Rattus norvegicus: one gene and its partner. The protein of the gene in region 1 interacts with the protein of each later gene in a biochemical or structural test. Links are inferred from orthologs where the notes say so. Each region holds a gene or a part of one and is shown on either strand. Other genes may lie near its edges. The genes, in order: Nxf1 and Nup62.

Region 1 (8,593 bases):
AAATGTATTAATTCAAAAAGTCCTAAGGTATTATGTATGTATGCCTTACTTGGCTCCCAGAGACTCCACGGTCTCCTAGAGTCACTCTTAGCTTGAGTGTGACTCTACATCCAGATTTCCCCTCCATGTGTCGCCTTGCCTATCCTCCTGAACTCCCTTCCTTAACTCTGTTCTTAGATGTTCTAAGATATTCATTTGAGGAAAGGATAGATTAGTATACTTCACTGTTGAGTGAGTAAACATTAGAGAAAACACATTTGAGGAGCTAGAGGCAGGTGTCAAAACACTCTGACTGAGTCCAGTCCTGTTTTCTGAACCACCTTACTCATCCAAGTACTCACTGTAATCTTGAACCAGTTCTTGGTGGTCCCATCTTGACTGGTGCCAGCACCTCCTCTTTCTTGAGGAGCTCTGTCTCTCCGTACAGTAACATGAATCCGATCTCGATCATGCCAAGTATCTCTCCGACGGTTAGGTCGGCTGGTATAGGGGTTGCTGTTGGGAAGCAGAATTACATTTCCATAAACACTAGGGAAGATGAACCAGTCCTGCTAGGGAAACTACAGCTACTAAACTGATTCTGTCAAGTATCACTTTACAAGGTGAGACGAGAAACGACAAAGACAATAAATAACAGGTCTACATAATTCAGTGGGTCACTATTCAAAGCAGACCAATTATTCACTTACTATCTCACTCGGGGGCCATCCTGGGGATCATTCATTGCCACATCTCCATCATCTTCCTCAAACCGGGAAGACCGTATACCAGAACCACCTCTTCCAGACCTACGATTCCCCTCACCACACTTCCATCGGAAAGGCCCCCGACCTTTCTTTCTTCTTTGTGGGAAACTAACACGGTCATCATGTTCTGGAGATGGAAACAGACACAGAAATTAGTAAATATATGAGGGGTCCTAGTTACCTTGGTGTAACCACCAGTTTCTAGTACTCTGTACTCTTAGAAAAAACAGATTTTAACTACAAAGGCTTCCTCCATAGAGATGCCTATGCCCTAGCCAGAGCAAAGAACTTTCTCTAGGACATCAATATCATGAACAAGTTATTGGAAACTATAGGGATGTTGGAAAAGGGTCAAGAATGTACCTCAGGGCACTGGAGAAATAACTTACCACACTGCCATCACAGGGTTTCTCTGTGTAGCTCTGGCTATCCTAGAACTAACTGTAGACCAAGTTGGCCTTGTAGATTCACCTGCCTCTACCTCCCCAGGTGCTGGGATTAAATGAGCCACCACCCCCTGTAAGATGCCTTTTTTTTTTTATTTATCCCTTTAAAAAAAAAAGACTTATTTATTTTATATATGTGAATATACTGTTGCTGTCTTCAGATACACCAGAAGAGGACATCAGATGCCCATTACAGATGGTTGTGAGCCACCATGTTGGTGCTGGGAATTGAACTCAGGACCTCTGGAAGAGCAGAGCCATCTCTTCAGCCCCTACTTATTCTTTTTTTTTTTTTTTTTTTTGGTTCTTTTTTTCGGAGCTGGGGACCGAACCCAGGGCCTTGCGCTTCCTAGGTAAGCGCTCTACCACTGAGCTAAATCCCCAGCCCCTCTTTTTTTATACAATATATTCTGACTGGGGCTTCTCCTCCCTCCACTTCTCCCAGTCTTCCCCCACCCAACTCCTTTCTCCCCCCAGATCCAGTGTTTCTCTTTTTCCACATCTGCTCCCATTAGCTTCTGGGAAGCCTCTGTGTTTGGGCTAGGAATAGTGTTCTTAAGAAAACTAGCTGCGGGGGTTGGGGATTTAGCTCAGTGGTAGAGCGCTTGCCTAGGAGCGCAAGGCCCTGGGTTCGGTCCCCAGCTCTGGAAAAAAAAAAAAAAAAGAAAACTAGCTGCGGGGTGGGCATTTAGCTCAGTGGTAGAGCGCTTGTCTAGCAAGCAAAAGGCCCTGGGTTCGGTCCCCAGCTCCGAAAAAAAAGAAAAAGAAAAAGAAAAAAAAAAAAAAAGGCAGAAGGGAAGAGCCTCCCCAGAAGTTCATATGAACAACCTTAACTAAACTCAGTAGGTTAGAGGCTGGGGGGGAAAAAAATCACTCAATGATTAGAGCACTAGCTGCTCTTCTAAAGGACCCAGAATGGGCTTCCAGCACCCACACAGTAGCTAACAGCTGTGCACTGTAGTGTAGGTGCTGAGAATCAAAGCTAGTATTCTGGAAAGTGTTCTTAAGCAATGAGTCTCCGTGAGTATATGCTTGACCCTTTTATTTTTCAATATTCCTAGGTTTTCCAATAACTTGTTCCTGATGTTGATGTCCTATAGAGATCTTTCCTTTGTCAAGGGCTCTGATATCTGCATGGAAGTGGCCTCTGTAGTTAACTCCAGGGAAGCCAATGTCCTCTTCCAGCCTCTGCAGGCACCAGACATACACATGATAGAAAAATAAACACATAGGCAAAATACTCAGACACAGAAAAAAAATAAACTCTTAAAAACAAAGAGTAGGGAGCTGAGAGATGGCTCAGGGCTTAAGAGCACTGGCTGCTTTCCCAGAGGTCCTGACTTCAATTCCCAGCAACCACATGGTGGCTCACAACCACCCTTAATTGGATCCAATGACCTCTTCTGGTGTGTCAGCAACAGTGTGCTCATATACATAAAATAAATAAATCTTTAAAAAAAAAAAAAAAGAGTAGGGCTAGAGAGATGGCTCAACGGTTTAGAGCACTGGCTGCTCTTACAGAGGTCCTGAGTTCAAATCCCACAGTGGTTCAAGATTATCTATAAAGGAATCTGATGCCCCCTTCTGGCATGCAGGTGTACATGCACCAGAGCACTTATACATTAAATAAAGTAAGTAAACAAAGTAAATAAGTAAAAACAAAAGAGTAATGAAAGGGGCACACAATCACAATACACTGTGTATTATATGTATAAAATTGCCAGAAAATTTAGAATTTAAAGAAAAAAGGGGTTGGGGATTTAGCTCAGTGGTAGAGCGCTTGCCTATCAAGCGCAAGGCCCTGGGTTCGGTCCCCAGTTCTGAAAAAAAGAAAAGGAAAAAAAAAAAAGAAAGAAAGAAAAAAGAAAAACAAAAATACCCAGAAACCAGTTCCTACAGAGAGTAGAATGTGGAAGTGTGAGCAACCCCAAAATCTAACCAGACCCCTGAAAAACCACGTGAAATCTGCCACTTGCTGTACAATTGATGGTTACAGAGCCAGATGTTGTGGCCAACACCTGTAATCCTGGCAATTGGGAAGGGGAGGCTTCAATTACACAAAGTTTTCAAAGCCATCCTGGGCTACATGAGATTCTCGAAAAATAAAGAATTCTTACAAATATGATGTAAAGTCTCTTAAAAACAACTACCATCTTCTGCACTCTGAATTTAGGAAATGCTAGTTTCTTTGGGGAAAAAAAAAAACACCTCAAGGAACTTCTAGATTCAGGGTCTGGTGCAGGTTCCACATTAGAGTCCTCCAATATAACTAGTGTTTGAAGCAGGAGGAATCCAAGTTCCAGATCAGCTAAGAGTATACCTTAAAAAGGGAAAGAAGCGGGGCTGGGGATTTAGCTCAGTCGTAGAGCGCTTACCTAGGAAGCGTAAGGCCCTGGGTTCGGTCCCCAGCTCCGAAAAAAAAGAACCAAAAAGAAAAAAAAAAAAAAAAAAAAGGGAAAGAAGCCAAACATTGTGACCCACAACTTAATTCCAGACAGTGGCAGAGTTCTGAAAGCCAGCCTGGTCTTTTCAGTGTGTTCTAGATCATTCAGAACTACACTTTGAGACACTGTTTCAGTAAACAAATACATAAATAAATAAATAAATAGAACCAAGTGTAGTAGTACACCGTTTAAGGGAAGAGGATCTGAGCTACACAGAGTTTAAGGCCAGACTGGGATTGAAACCCTGTTTCTCTTAGTGTTTGGTCTGCCTATATATAGACAAAACGAATAAAAGGAGGGCTAAGGATACTGATTAGTTGATAAAGTGCTTGTCTATCCTTCCACACTCAAAAAGATCACCCAGACTGAGGCTGAGGCAGAATTCAAAACTTCAAGTCAGTCTGGGCAACTTGGCAAACCATCTCAAAAAAATAACAAGGGATGGGAATATAGCTCTGTGGGAGAACAGAAAGCCGGGCACACTATGTATGTAGTGGAGGATGACCTTGAACCTCTCTGATCCTCTTACCTTAAACAATGTACTACTACACTTGGTTCTATTTATTTACCTTTTGTCAGACCTTAAGTTCAACCCTAGAACCAAAAAAAAAAAAAAAAAAAAAAAAAAAGTAAACCGTAAACATCTGTGAGGCAGGCATGGTGGGTGGCACATGCCTGCCTGCAATGCTGAGCTTGGGAAGCTGACACAGTAAGACTGACTGAAGCCAGCCTGGGCTGACCCTATAAGGGAGAATTAGCCTTTCCAAGGGACAAACTCCCCAAATGGCTAGCCAATCCCAAATGGTATGCTTTACAAACTAATACATAACACTAAATGAACTCAGCAAGTTGCATGAATTTGGCGAGAGGAGTGGATGACAGGTGAGTGGCTGGAGGAAGGAGATCAATTATATTTGAATTAAAATAAAAGGTCATTGGGTAGAGATTTTTCAGGCATAGATAAGTCATCAGCACCACACAAGCACAAAAAAAGATTCATAACTTTCAAAGAAATCTACCTAATTTCTAGTATCTAATACCTAATATCAAGTGACCCTAGTAAAAAGGAATACATTAAAGAGACAGTCCAAGTACGGTTCACTGAAAAATCCCCACTCCAGTCACTGTGTTTGAGGCACTTAATAAAATGATCTCTCTCTCTCTCTCTCTCTCTCTCTCTCTCTCTCTCTCTCTCTCTCACACACACACACACACACACACACACACACACACACACACACACACACACACACACACGGGACACGGGAGACAAGTACCCACATGAAAGAGATGGAAAACAAGGCCTCAAAGTTTAACTCACTCGGGGTTAGCACAGCCAACTTCAGATTCAAACCTCAGCTGTCATACTGTCCTAACCACCACAATGAATTAACAAGTCAGGGTAGGTGTGCGGGCTAGAAAACTGGGTAAACAATAAGCAGCAAGCTGCAAGAACAGACTGATCGTATTTAAAAAAAAAAAAAAAATAGGGCACCAGGGTAGCCTGACTACTGACTCACATTTAAAGGAAGAGTCCGGCTGCCAAACTGAACTGACAGGCATCAACCACCCTCAAAGTTGAAAGGAAATCTTGTCACCTCACCCCTGAGCCACAGGTCCTCCAACGCCAGAATCCGGGCGACTCTGGAGTCCCCGGGTCCCGCGGCGTCCCGCGCCCCCTGCCCGCGCGGCCACCGCTACCTACGGACGTAGGGCTCCTCGCGGCCTCCCGCCCCCGGGCTGAGGCCTAGGCCGGGGCCGCCCACCCTGACCCACCGCGTCGCCTCCCGGCCCGAGGCCCCGCACTAACCGTTGTATGACTTCCCTTCGTCCGCCATGGCACAGGCAGGTACAGGGGCGGGCTCAGGCGCAGAACCTGACGCCACCAAACACCCGGACGCCTTGGCGCTCAGGACAGAAGCTCTCCTACGACCGGCGCCACCGCATTTATCCGGCGAAGCACGTCGCGCGCAGCCGACGTCCCCAGGATGTGGGCGGTGCCGCGGGGCAGGAACGCGCTCTCTGAGCCTGCGCAGAAGCAGGGCGGCCGCTCGGAGGCGTGGCCAGGCCCTCCGAGGCCCGCCCACGGCCGGAGCTCGGGGCGCGATGGCTTGTAGGTCGGCCCCGCCTTCCTACTTCTCCGCTGGCCCGCAGCGCTGAGGTTTGCGCTGGAGCTGAGCGGTCTGCTTTAGCCCTGAACTCAGGAGCAGGGACGAGAGCTACACAGAAGAATGGAGACCTGGCCTCTGAACGGGAGTAACGGATCACAGTCCACGCAGGTGGGATCCCGGCAGCGTGTAAGTCGCAGCGCAGTTCCTTGCCAGCCGCCGGCTTATGCCCTCCCAGCCTTTCTCGCCTCTACGACGGATTATGACGAAATAGAAAATTGGAATGTAAGCCCCACTGGAACAGGAACCTTAACTTATGCGCAACTTTTCTTCCTCCAGCGTGCCTGGCACAGTATCATGCCCATTGTGAAACCCAAGTGTGAATTAAGCGAAATCCTGTCCTGTTCCCTTGTAGGTCTTCTACAAATTGCCTAATTAAAGCGTCAGGCGAGCTGTAGTGGCGCAGGTCTTTAAACCCGTATTTGGAAGGCAGAGGCAGGTGGATCTTTAAATTTGAGGCCAGTCTCAGCTCTATAGAAATTTCTAGAATAGCCAGAGCTTGTAGAGGCCCTGCCTCAAAAAAAAAAAAAAAAAAAAAGCTTTAGTCTTAGTACCAGTATTTTTGTCGACATAGCCAGTACAGAGATAGCGAAGGCTACATAGACGGTCTCAAAACAAAATTAGTAATCTAGTGAGCTATGATCTTCACCCCCAAGGCCCTGGCCATCATGCTGAAGCCTAATTGGTAAAACCCAGGTTAGCTAGGTAGGTAGGGAAAGTTGCTAGTATTGAGTGGTTTTGTTTGAGACAGGGTTTCTGTATAATTCTGGCTGTCCTGAAACTTGCTTTGTAGACCAAGTTGGCCTCAAACTCAAGAGATCCACTTGCGAGGTTGGGGATTTAGCTCAGTGGTAGAGCGCTTGCCTAGCAAGCACAAGGCCCTGGGTTCAGTCCCCAGCTCCGGAATAAAAAAAAAAAAAAAAAAATAATAATAATAATAATAATAAAAGAGATCCACTTGCTTCTAACTCCCAAGTGCTGGTTGAAATTTTTAGATGGCAAACCCAAGAGCTCTTCTAGTAAACCTTTGGTGTGACTAGGACTCTCCTCCATTCCTTGGACCCAGATGCTGCTGTAGGAGGGGAATCAGATGGGGCACTGGTAGGCACGGAGCATGACTTTAACACAGATCAGAAAGACAAAACAACTCATTAATCTCCCTTGAGGGTCTGTGTTAGGTGGGTCACCTCCATTTTGCAGTGGTTTTGCTCAGGATCTTAGAAGGTGCCAAAGAGCTGGGTACAAATTGGAGCTGGGCACAAATGCTCTTCACCCAGCAGCAGAGCTCTTGCTTCACTCAGTTCAAAAATCAGGACCAGGTGATTTGAAGATACAGGTTAAACAGGCTCAAACTGTTTGGGACAGCCCTAGAAGTTGACACCCAATAATGAGTCCACTTAGCTCCAGTTCAAAGGAAAATTCTAATTTAGTGCTGTTGTTACTTGGCCACTCCCTTTTAAGAGGGAGTTGTGGGTACAGAGCTCCAAAGCTGCTCTGCCTATCAATGGGGGCTGTCAAAGCCACCAACTTAACCCTTTTGGTTCTGGTATTAAGCAGTGGTTTGCTGGCTGCGGAAGCCCACGACGATCCCACCCAGAAACGACAACATCACTAGTGAGGCTGACAGTCTTGCTGTAATTGGGAGGAAACAGGCTGCAGCATGTTTGGCAGATTGAGAGTCACCAGTAGCCAAAGTCAGGTTTGTGCAACTGTAGGGCTCAGAGCCCCCCCCACCTCACATGGTGAGGAGAAGGTGGCAGTCAAGTTCTAGATGACCCAGATGATTAAGTTGGTCCCTGGGATAGTTTTACTTCCTCACCTCACTCTCCAGAAGGCAAGGAAGGGCATTGTTTCCTCTTGCTGCCAGTTACCTTTAGGGGAGGCTGGTCTGGGTTTATAAAAATCTCATGGTAGAGACAACCTCCCCACTGGCCCTAGCTGGCTTCTGTTCCCTGCCACTTCACAGCAGAGGCCAAATCCAGAACCAGTGTGTTTCATGGGCCTGAGGGTAGGACAGAGTGGCCAGAGACAAGGGTGGGGAATCAGGGACACTGGCCATTCTTAGCAGTTCCAAGGAAATGGCCTTTCTCCCAACTACCCTGCACAGGCTCAGTGGCAATAGTGGCCACCTGTCCTTCCAGAAGGGTTCCAGGCCCTCCATGGAGTGGCTCAGAATGAGGGAGGAGGGTTCAGGCAAGGAAGACCACAAAGATGATGAAGAAGACAATGAGGATGAGGAAGATTTTGACCATGAGCCACCGATTGGAGGTGACTGACTGGAAGTACTTGAGGATCTCTGAATGGGCGGCCTCAACATCCAGCTGGGCTCCAAGCACATTCTCGTCAATCCTGGAAACAGGAGATAAAACAGAGAGGAACACTGGGTTGAAGAAGGTTAAAGACATCCATTTATTGATATGGGAAGCTGATCACAATATGTAGAAGTAAAAAGTATTTGATACTACGTTAACTGTGTGTGTGTGTGTGTGTGTATACACATACATACATACATACATACATACATACACACACACACACACACACACATATCAAGTTTTTTGAGGGTAGTAGATCATGTTTGATTCTAGCTTTAAAGTGTCCTGCCAGTTATTAGCTTATGATTGAATTATTTAACCAGTCTTATTTTCCACATCTAAAAAATGAGATAAATGATATAAACCCTACTCCTTTCATGAGATTTCTTATTTATCTGTTTTTTTTTTTTATTTAAAGACTTATTTATTTTATGTATGTGAGTACACTGTCACTGTCTTCAGCCACACCAGAAG
Region 2 (8,663 bases), about 110 Mb from region 1:
GAGCCCAATGCCCAAGCACAGGGCTTCTATAAGAAAAGCAGGAAGCTCAAAGAAAGAAGCCTCAAGCTGGACAGAGGTAGAGACACCTGAAGGGACACAAGGGGCCTCAAAAAGAAGCAGCCTCTAGATACTGGTATGGCTAGAAACCCAGTGCCTTGGGAACTTCAGAATTCTAATAAGGTGGCAAGTGTGTGCTGTCTGAACCTCTTAACCTGTCATAACAGCAAGAGGGAATGAACCAGTACAGGTGACACCCAAAATGTGGGAGCTGTTACAGAAGCATGAGGCCAACTCCGCTGTGATTAAGTTACAACGGTGACTTCTAAAGGTGAGGTTTTGTAAGGGAAGGACAGGGGCTCTAGAGAACTCTGAGCACCTGGCCACGTGGCACTGCCCTTTCCCCAGCTGAACTGGCCTTGGCCCTCCTGTCCTTGTTTGCCAGGACACCCACACCTCCAACCCCCCCCCCCGCCTTAATGACCCAATTTTACTTGTTCCCAAGCACAGTGTGGCAATTATGGTATCAAGTTTTCTGTCCTCACACAAGCAACCGATTCAGAAGTGCTGCTGCCCATGGGGGTGCGGTAGGGCTAGCACAGTGGTGGGGGCTGTATGATTCTGGGAAAGAACAAAGTCCCGACCTTGTCCTCTATGTACTGGAGAAGATAGTCAAGGGCACAGATATCCATCTGTTAGGTAGATCAGAATGCACAAGTATGATAGGACAGAAGAGAACCCATAGCAGATTCTGAGCTCCTAGAAGAGCTTTCCCTCCACACCTTTAGCTTATACCTGCAGCCAAGCATCACACTATGCTGATGACGACTCATCCCTCCCTGTACCAGGTGGGTCCTTTTACTTAGGAAAATGAGAGACACACAATGCCATGTGCACTCACATTGGGAAGACAACTAGCAAGTTGGTGCCCACCCCACCAGGATGTAAGCATGCAAACTCTCGCCTATAAATAGAACCTATAAAGCCCAATCCTTTTCCATCACATCCGGTTGTTTCCGCGATTGAGAAACCAGGGCTTGCTCCATCCAACAGTACAGGTGATAAGAAGTAATTGGGTGGATAAGAACAGAGATATATTGAAGTGTCACAATGAAACCTCTTTGCATACTAACCAAAACAATAACAGCTACAACAAAACCTAGTTAATAGTCCAGGTTAGAGGCCTCACAGAACCCTGGAAGTTAGGCAGGGTGGGAGTTCTGTTCTATTAAAGACACCTGTGGCCATGCATAATTCTTCTTACCCTTTCTAGGCCTCAGTCTTGTCTTCACAAGCAAGCTATGGGCCTTTGGAATGGTAGGCCCCTTCTAAGGACAAAGCCCCAGATTCGCTGTGTTCTGCCCAGGGGGCTCCTATCCAGGTCTTTGCTACCTAGGAGCTGTTGCCAGGTGCTCTGTGGTCCCCAGAGAATTCCCTTACCCCTTCCTACCCATCAGAGCCACGGCTGATGCAACTGCCTGCAACCAGCCGCCTCACTCCCTAGCTCAGGTCCCTCCGCACTGGAAAAGAGTTCCAAGCAGCTCCACCCTTGCTTCTGGCTCCCCAAAGAATTTGTTTGTTTTTTGAGAGTAAAGAAACTAGGCTGCCATTTGAGACTGGGTAAGGGTTATAGACAAAGAATAACACACATGTTGGACACATAGCATGGGCTGGGTACTGGCCAAAGCTCAGGGTGGCAGGCCTCCAAGGATGACCACCAAGCACAACTGAAATTAAGATGGGTTTAGGGGTGGGGGAAGCATCTGGGTGGGACCCCAGGACAGAAAAAGGTTGTGCAGCCTTGGCTGTGACGGAAGCACCACAGGGAAGAGACTATGAGCTGGTACCCACTCTGCACTGTCTTTGAAACCTATCTCATTCCAAAAGTTTACTTTAAAATACTAAATTCAAGGAAAGGAGGACCATAGGCATTGCAACATGGCATACTGTTTCAAAAATAAAAAAGGGCACCTGTGGGGCCCAGGGATGCAGCTCAGGTGGTAGAATGCCTGTCTAGCATGCAATGCATGAAGCCATGGGTCCATTCCACTTCTGTATTAGTGGCAGCCTTTATGCATCAGTATCTAGTCTAAACAGACTCCACACAGAATTAATGCAGCCCATAGCTGGTAAGCTAGGGCTGGAGTCTGAACACATCACATCTCATGGTTACCTGTACTGGCAGCAGATACGAGTGCCCACTCCAGGCTGGAGAGATGTCTCAGCGCTTAAGAACACTGACCCGGGTTGGGGATTTGGCTCAGTGGTAAAGCACTTGCCTAGCAAGCGCAAGGCCCTGGGTTTGGTCCCCAGCTCCGAAAAAAAGAAAAAAGGGGTGGTGGTGGTGGTTGGGGATTTAGCCCAGTGGTAGAGTGCTTGCCTAGCAAGCGTAAGGCCCTGGGTTCGGTCCCCAGCTCTGGGAAAAAAAAAAAAAAAAAAAAAAAACACTGACCCATCCAAAGGTCCTGAGTTCAATTCCCAGCAACCACATGGTGGCTCACAACCATCTGTAATGGGATCTGATACCCTCTTCTGGTGTGTCTGAAGACAGCTACAGTGTACTCATACATAAATCTTTTAAGAGAGCCCACTCCAAGAGTAAAATTGCCAAGGACTTCCTGCTTGTAACTTTCAAAATCAGTTTTCCTCACCTGCTCCAATCTTTTTTCTTTTACAGTACCAGGAATAGAAACCAGGTCCTGGAAAGCAGCACTCTAGCCAATACTCTGCCACCAATCCCCCACCCCCAGCCCAGTATAATTGTTTTTTTAAATCAGGGTCTTTGTAAGTTCCCTAGAAGGCTAAGAACTCACTTTCTAGTCCAGGCAAGCCATGAACTTTTTTTTTTTAAATCACACTCCTAGTCAGCATTCAGACCTGTCACCACACGTGGTGATGGTGAAGGCCAGAGGACAACCGTCTGTCTATAGAGTTGCTTTTGGGTTCTGGGGATGGAACTCAAGAGGGTTGGGTTTAGAGATTACCACCTGAACTATCTCAAAGCAGCTCAGGCCCTGACCTTGACTTCCAATACTCCCGCCTTGGCCTCTTAAGTAGGTAAGATACCAGGCCTGGCCTTTGAGCTTTTTCTTTTTAAAAACACACTGAGGCCAGCCAGTATGACCTTGAATTCATGATTCCTTCTGCTTCCATCTTCCAAATGCTGGGAATATAGACAACTACCAAGCACCGTCCATGTGGTGCTGGGTGCTAAGGTTCTTGTGTGCAACAGGCAAGCACTCTTGAGTTCCATCTCCACCCATTCAGTCTCTCAGCTGCTACAAATATGATAGGCTGACTGGCTTCCACATGGAATGACGGCTATACTCGAACACGGGGCGGAAAACCGCCCCATCATCCTGGGGGACAGACAGGATCAAGAAACAATTTATCTAGTGGGGTCAGCAAGAGAGCAAGGACTGCAAGGAAGTCAGAGCAAGGGGCAAAACCTAAGAGGGTGGCATGATGAGCACAGCATGTAGCAAGTAGGGATGGCTGGAAACAGAAACCTTGGAGGTGGGACACACAGAATGATCATATGGATATGTTGGCTGGCTAAGAATCGGGGGTAGGGAGATAAAAAGGGGTGAAATCAGGCCCCCTCCCAGGGGTGGGGGCTTAATCTAAAAGAAAATAAAACGATTTTAGTAGTAGATGAAATGACTCAGTGGAGAAAGGCTGCCAAACAATCTGACCTGAGTTCCATCCCTGGGACCCTACTATATAGTAGGAGAACCAACTCCTGCTAGCTCTTCTTTGACCACCACATACATACACAATAAACGTTAAAACAAACAAGAAGGTTTAAGAGTCCTGATTAGGACTCCGTGGCCTACTTTCCATAGCTGGTATATTTGTGCGTATATCTATAAACAGCGACATCTCGCTGTTGCTCCCTTGAACTCGTCTATGAAGCCTAAGCTAGCTTGAACTCGCCATTCCGCGATGAGCTTAACCCACGAGGTCTCTCGGAGCGACATCGGTTTTAGGGACTGGTGGCAAATTTGTGAAGCAGGGATAGATAACGGGATGAGCTGGTTACGGGTGTAAGAGAGATCGAATAGGATCCAACCGATACAGGAAACAGAGTCCGGGCCCCCAGCCTGAAGCAGTGAGTGAAGGGTCAGGGCGACATGGCGGGCCCGGGGTCGCCACCGCCCCGTCGGGGCCCCGCGAGGGCGGAGCGCGGAGGGATCCAGGCATCCCGCGCTGCGCCGCCCCCGGTATATTTGTTCCCAGGCCCCGGGGCCGCCTCATTTTCAACCCTCTCAGCAGTCTCCCTTAACGCTCCTGCCACGCCGCCTCCGCCCGTGCAATGGCTCTGTAGCCGCGATCTCGTCGTGTCCCCCGCCCCGTTTCCGCGCTCACCGCGACTTCACTCTCTGCTCACACCGACTCTTCAACTGAGGCCGCCGCCGCCGTTGCCTCCTCTCCTTTTCGCAGCCATGGAGTGAGTAACCGCTCGCCCCTCCCTCTCCAACCGCCTTTCCCGCCCTTTCACAGAGCTCGCGGGGCTTCACGGGTCAGCCTCGTGGGGAGGGGGTGGGGAAGACGATATGAGGAACCACGGTCGCGCAGGCGCAGAAGAGGGAAGTCGGTGGCCGGCGCATCCGCTGAGCAAGCGCACTAGGCTCCAGGCGTGGGGGAGGGTGTGCTTCCGCAGAGTCTGGGGGCTTTTAAGGTCGGTTCGCGCGCCATTGCGCCTGCGCACTAATTCACAGACCCTCTTCCTCCTTTCCCCTCAGAGGATACGAACCCACACTCTATTGCGCATGCGCATTACCTTATTCCCGGCCTGAACTACGGAGGGCGGCCGGTAATTGGCTAAACACACGCACTGGTCCCCCCAGGAGGGTAGTGGCGTAACAATGAATCCGGTCCAGGGTCTGAGCTTTCGTCTTGCGGCTTAGCGAGCAATCAGCGAGGAAGGGTGGAGTTCCTCGAGGCTCTGACACTGGTCCAACTTCCCTCCAATCAGGCACCTGCTGGGGCGGGGACTGGCTTAGATTGACAGGGAAGGCTAAAGAACACCTTTAAGAAAGACTTGGAGCTAGAACCAAGGGGCGGGGCCTCTAGGGACTTGCTAGTTGGGGGCGGGAACTGACTTGACAGACAGGAGTGTGGGCGGGGCTTCCCGTAGAATCTGTAGAAGTCACCTAAAACTTTTAAGGGAAGAGTGGGATTTGTGTGTGTAACACTGATGAAGGGCCCAAGGCATGGCAGAATTATTCTGGGAACCCCTGTGAACTCTAAAGGGCGTATAGTCTAAAGAAAATATTGATGCGGAAGGGGCACGGCTAGAAGAAAATAAAATTACCTTGGGATTGAATTTTTTTACGAAGAGCAATAAGATGAGGTAGGTAGGAGGGGCTGGAAGTAATTCCCCTGGGAGAACACTAGGTTTCTGTGTTGAGGGAGGAGATGGGGCTGGGGAGTTTCCAAAAGTTGCCTTGGGAATGTATGGAGCTCTGGAATTTGCAGAAAGAAGAAAAGTGTGGGTAGCTTGTGGGTCAAGCAGCTTTGACTCAACCCCACCCACGCCACCTTGTCTTCCTCACAGGCCCTCCACCTTCGCCTTGGTGCCTGTCTTCACCCAGCTGAACAATCTTCCACGCTGCCTCCCAGTTGTTGGTGCAGCCTCCATTGCCATCGCAGCCCTGCACCTGTGCCTCAGCCATGTCACTCCTGGCGACCCTGGGACTGGAGCTGGACAGGGCCCTGCTCCCAGCTAGCGGGCTGGGCTGGCTCGTAGACTATGGGAAACTCCCCCTGGCCCCTGCCCCCCTGGGCCCCTATGAGGTCCTTGGGGGTGCCCTGGAGGGCGGGCTTCCAGGGGGGGGAGAGCCCCTGGCAGGTAAGAAACAGGTGAAAAAGAGAGGTGGGTTAAGGTGGCGGGGTGTGGAAGGACAGAAAAGGAAGGATTTATTCATTCACAAGATCAGTACAGAGGGCCTGCAGTGTGCCCAGCCCTGTTCTTCATGTGCAAGGTGCAGAGCAAGGGATACCAAAGCTCGTGGAAGCATCAGGAGACAGAGGTGGGAAGCCAAAGCTTAGCTGAAAGGAAGACATGGTTGAGAAGTCAGCCTTCTCTAAGTAGACAACCTCTGGATTGAGGGCTAAGGGATGGGCAAAGGGAGCCATGATAAGTCCTGAGGGGAGCGCTATCTCAGAGATTCTGAGGCAGGCAGTCAACAGATGGTTGTCCTAGACTGTGCCTGGTGGCTTATGTCCATAACTTCCCCTGTTAGAGGCTTCTCATCCTCTTGAGCCCAGGCCAACCTAGGCAGCCTGGTAAGAACATAGTTGTCAAACATCTGAGAAACACAAAAGGAGAGCAAATAAAGATGGAGAGAGTCACGCCCACACACGCAAACACACAGAGGGGGGAGGGAGGAGAGAAAGTGTGTGAGTATAATCCCAGCACTCTGGGAGAGAGTCAGAAGTTTAAGGGTTGTCCTCAGCTACAGACTACAGAACAGGTCCAAGGCTATCCTAGTCTACACAAGACTCTGTCGACAATAGATAAGTAAACAAGTGAGGGAAAGAGAGGAGACACTAGTGTGGGGTGCAGTCGACCAACCTGGTCAAGGAGAAGGATTATAGAGATGGGAGCTGACCTTCGTCGGGTGGGCCATTAGTTGGGCGAGTGCTTCACTGAGTGGCTGACTGATTATTTCATCGGTTAGTTGGTCAATTAATCGGTTGGTTGACTGATTTGAATCATTGGTTGGCTTGTTCATTGATTGGCTAATGAGTTGATTAGTTTATTAGCAGGTGGCCTGGTGAACTGATTGGATGATTGGCTGGCTGTCTTGTTCATTGATTAATGATTTGTTGGGTGGTTGGCTGATGAACTAGGTATGATTGGCTGGCTGGCTGGCTGGTTGGTTAGTTCATTAGTTAGTGGCTTGATGGGTAAACTAGCTAGCTGGTTGGTTGATTGGTTGATTAGTTTCTTCCCTAACTCACTGGTTGCTGACAGGTCTATAGATTGGATGGTTGGCTGGCTGGTCACTTGTCACATTGAGTGAATGGGGCATGAATGAACACCAAGTGGATAAAGCACAGACCTTAGAGATTTTTATGTCCTCCCCCCACATCCTCAGGTGACGGCTTCTCTGATTGGATGACCGAGCGGGTGGACTTCACAGCCCTCCTTCCTCTGGAGGCCCCTCTGCCCCCAGGCACTCTCCCCCCACCCTCCCCTGCCCCCCCTGACCTGGAAGCCATGGCATCCCTACTCAAGAAGGAGCTAGAACAGATGGAAGACTTCTTCCTTGATGCCCCACTCCTTCCACCGCCCTCCCCACCTCCACCCCCACCCCCAGCACCCTCTCTGCCCCTGCCCTTACCCTTGCCCACCTTTGATCTCCCGCAGCCTCCTACCCTGGATACCCTGGACTTGCTAGCTGTTTACTGCCGCAGTGAGGCTGGGCCAGGGGATTCAGGCTTGACAACCCTGCCTGTCCCCCAGCAGCCTCCTCCTCTGGCCCCTCTGCCTTCACCCTCCCGACCAGCCCCCTATCCTAGTCCTGCCAGCACCCGAGGGGACCGCAAGCAAAAGAAGAGAGACCAGAATAAGTCAGCTGCTCTCAGGTACCGCCAGAGGAAGCGGGCAGAGGGCGAGGCCCTGGAGGGCGAGTGCCAAGGGCTAGAGGCGCGGAATCGGGAGCTGAGGGAGAGGGCAGAGTCAGTGGAACGGGAGATCCAGTATGTGAAGGATCTGCTAATTGAGGTGTATAAGGCACGAAGCCAGAGGACCCGCAGTGCCTAGGGTACAGGAGGAGGCAGTTCTGGTGTACCTGTGCCTCCAGCTTCACCCTGTCCCTCCATTTCACTTCCCTGTGCATCCGTGTCTAGGTCTCCCCTCTGCCTATCCCCATTATGGGTTATTTGGCATAGTCAGTTTCTGTACCCCTTCAGTGCAACTGAGAAACCAAGGCCCTCAGGGAATCAGAGGAGCCAGCCTGATCCCTGGTCTCTGGAGTCTTAAAACAAGTGTGTTTTTGCAGGTAGTCCTAGTTGGGTGTCGGGGGGAGGCTGCCAGGCCTGGCATGGACATTAGGCAGGAAGCCACTCTGGATGATTGTGCACATGAGAACCTAGTCAGGGAGGGAGGGTTTTAAGGAGAGGACTTAGAATACAAGTGAGAAGCCAGCCGAGGAAAGGGAACCAAGTCCTCAGAATAGAAGGCTATACTGGCCTAGGGACAGGAAGGGGTGGCTGTAGTTGGTAACTAGGGTGTCATTTTAGCTCTGTGAGAGAATCAGTGTTTTGTGAAGGTGTGGGGGAAGGGTTGCATCTGGTGGGGGCTGATCCTCCAGGGGTTGTGGGCTCAAATAAAATGCAGACTTTCCTGTGGCCTGTGTGTCTGTCTTTGAGAGGGGACTGGGGAGACTGAGTCTGGGGGTAGTCATAAAGACAACGGAGAATAAACCAAAGGGCTGGGGCTGAAGCCCTACAGTACCCGTGTGCCTAGCACAAGAGAAAGAAGTTGGGTGTGGTGGCTCATGACTGCAGGCTCAGCATTTGAGGGGCTGAGGAGGAAGGATTGCTCTAAGTGTGAGGCCAGCCTGGGCTACAGAGTGAGGCCATCTCAAACAAAACAATGAAGCCAAACAAAAGGTAACTAGTAACATTTGTTCATTGTCAAGTACACCCACTTG

Evidence for each region.
Region 2: the proteins of Nxf1 (region 1) and Nup62 form a complex in vitro, tested with the Homo sapiens proteins (3 studies listed by BioGRID and IntAct). The link is inferred for Rattus norvegicus from reciprocal best matches to the Homo sapiens genes NXF1 and NUP62.

The regions. Positions count from the first base shown.
Region 1 is NC_086019.1:215,081,512-215,090,104, reverse strand, and holds the start of Nxf1 (nuclear RNA export factor 1), read right to left. Parts: upstream 5,543-8,593; 5' UTR 5,475-5,542; coding exon 5,447-5,474; intron 874-5,446; coding exon 690-873; intron 496-689; coding exon 342-495; intron 1-341. Other genes in the region: Stx5 (syntaxin-5), read right to left, coding at 7,994-8,153.
Region 2 is NC_086019.1:104,431,789-104,440,451, reverse strand, and holds the start of Nup62 (nuclear pore glycoprotein p62), read right to left. Parts: upstream 4,425-8,663; 5' UTR 4,366-4,424; exon of another isoform or gene 2,841-4,365; intron 2,704-2,840; exon of another isoform or gene 1,262-2,703; intron 1-1,261. Other genes in the region: Atf5 (cyclic AMP-dependent transcription factor ATF-5), read left to right, coding at 5,674-5,851, 7,104-7,771. UniProt on the Homo sapiens protein: Essential component of the nuclear pore complex. The N-terminal is probably involved in nucleocytoplasmic transport.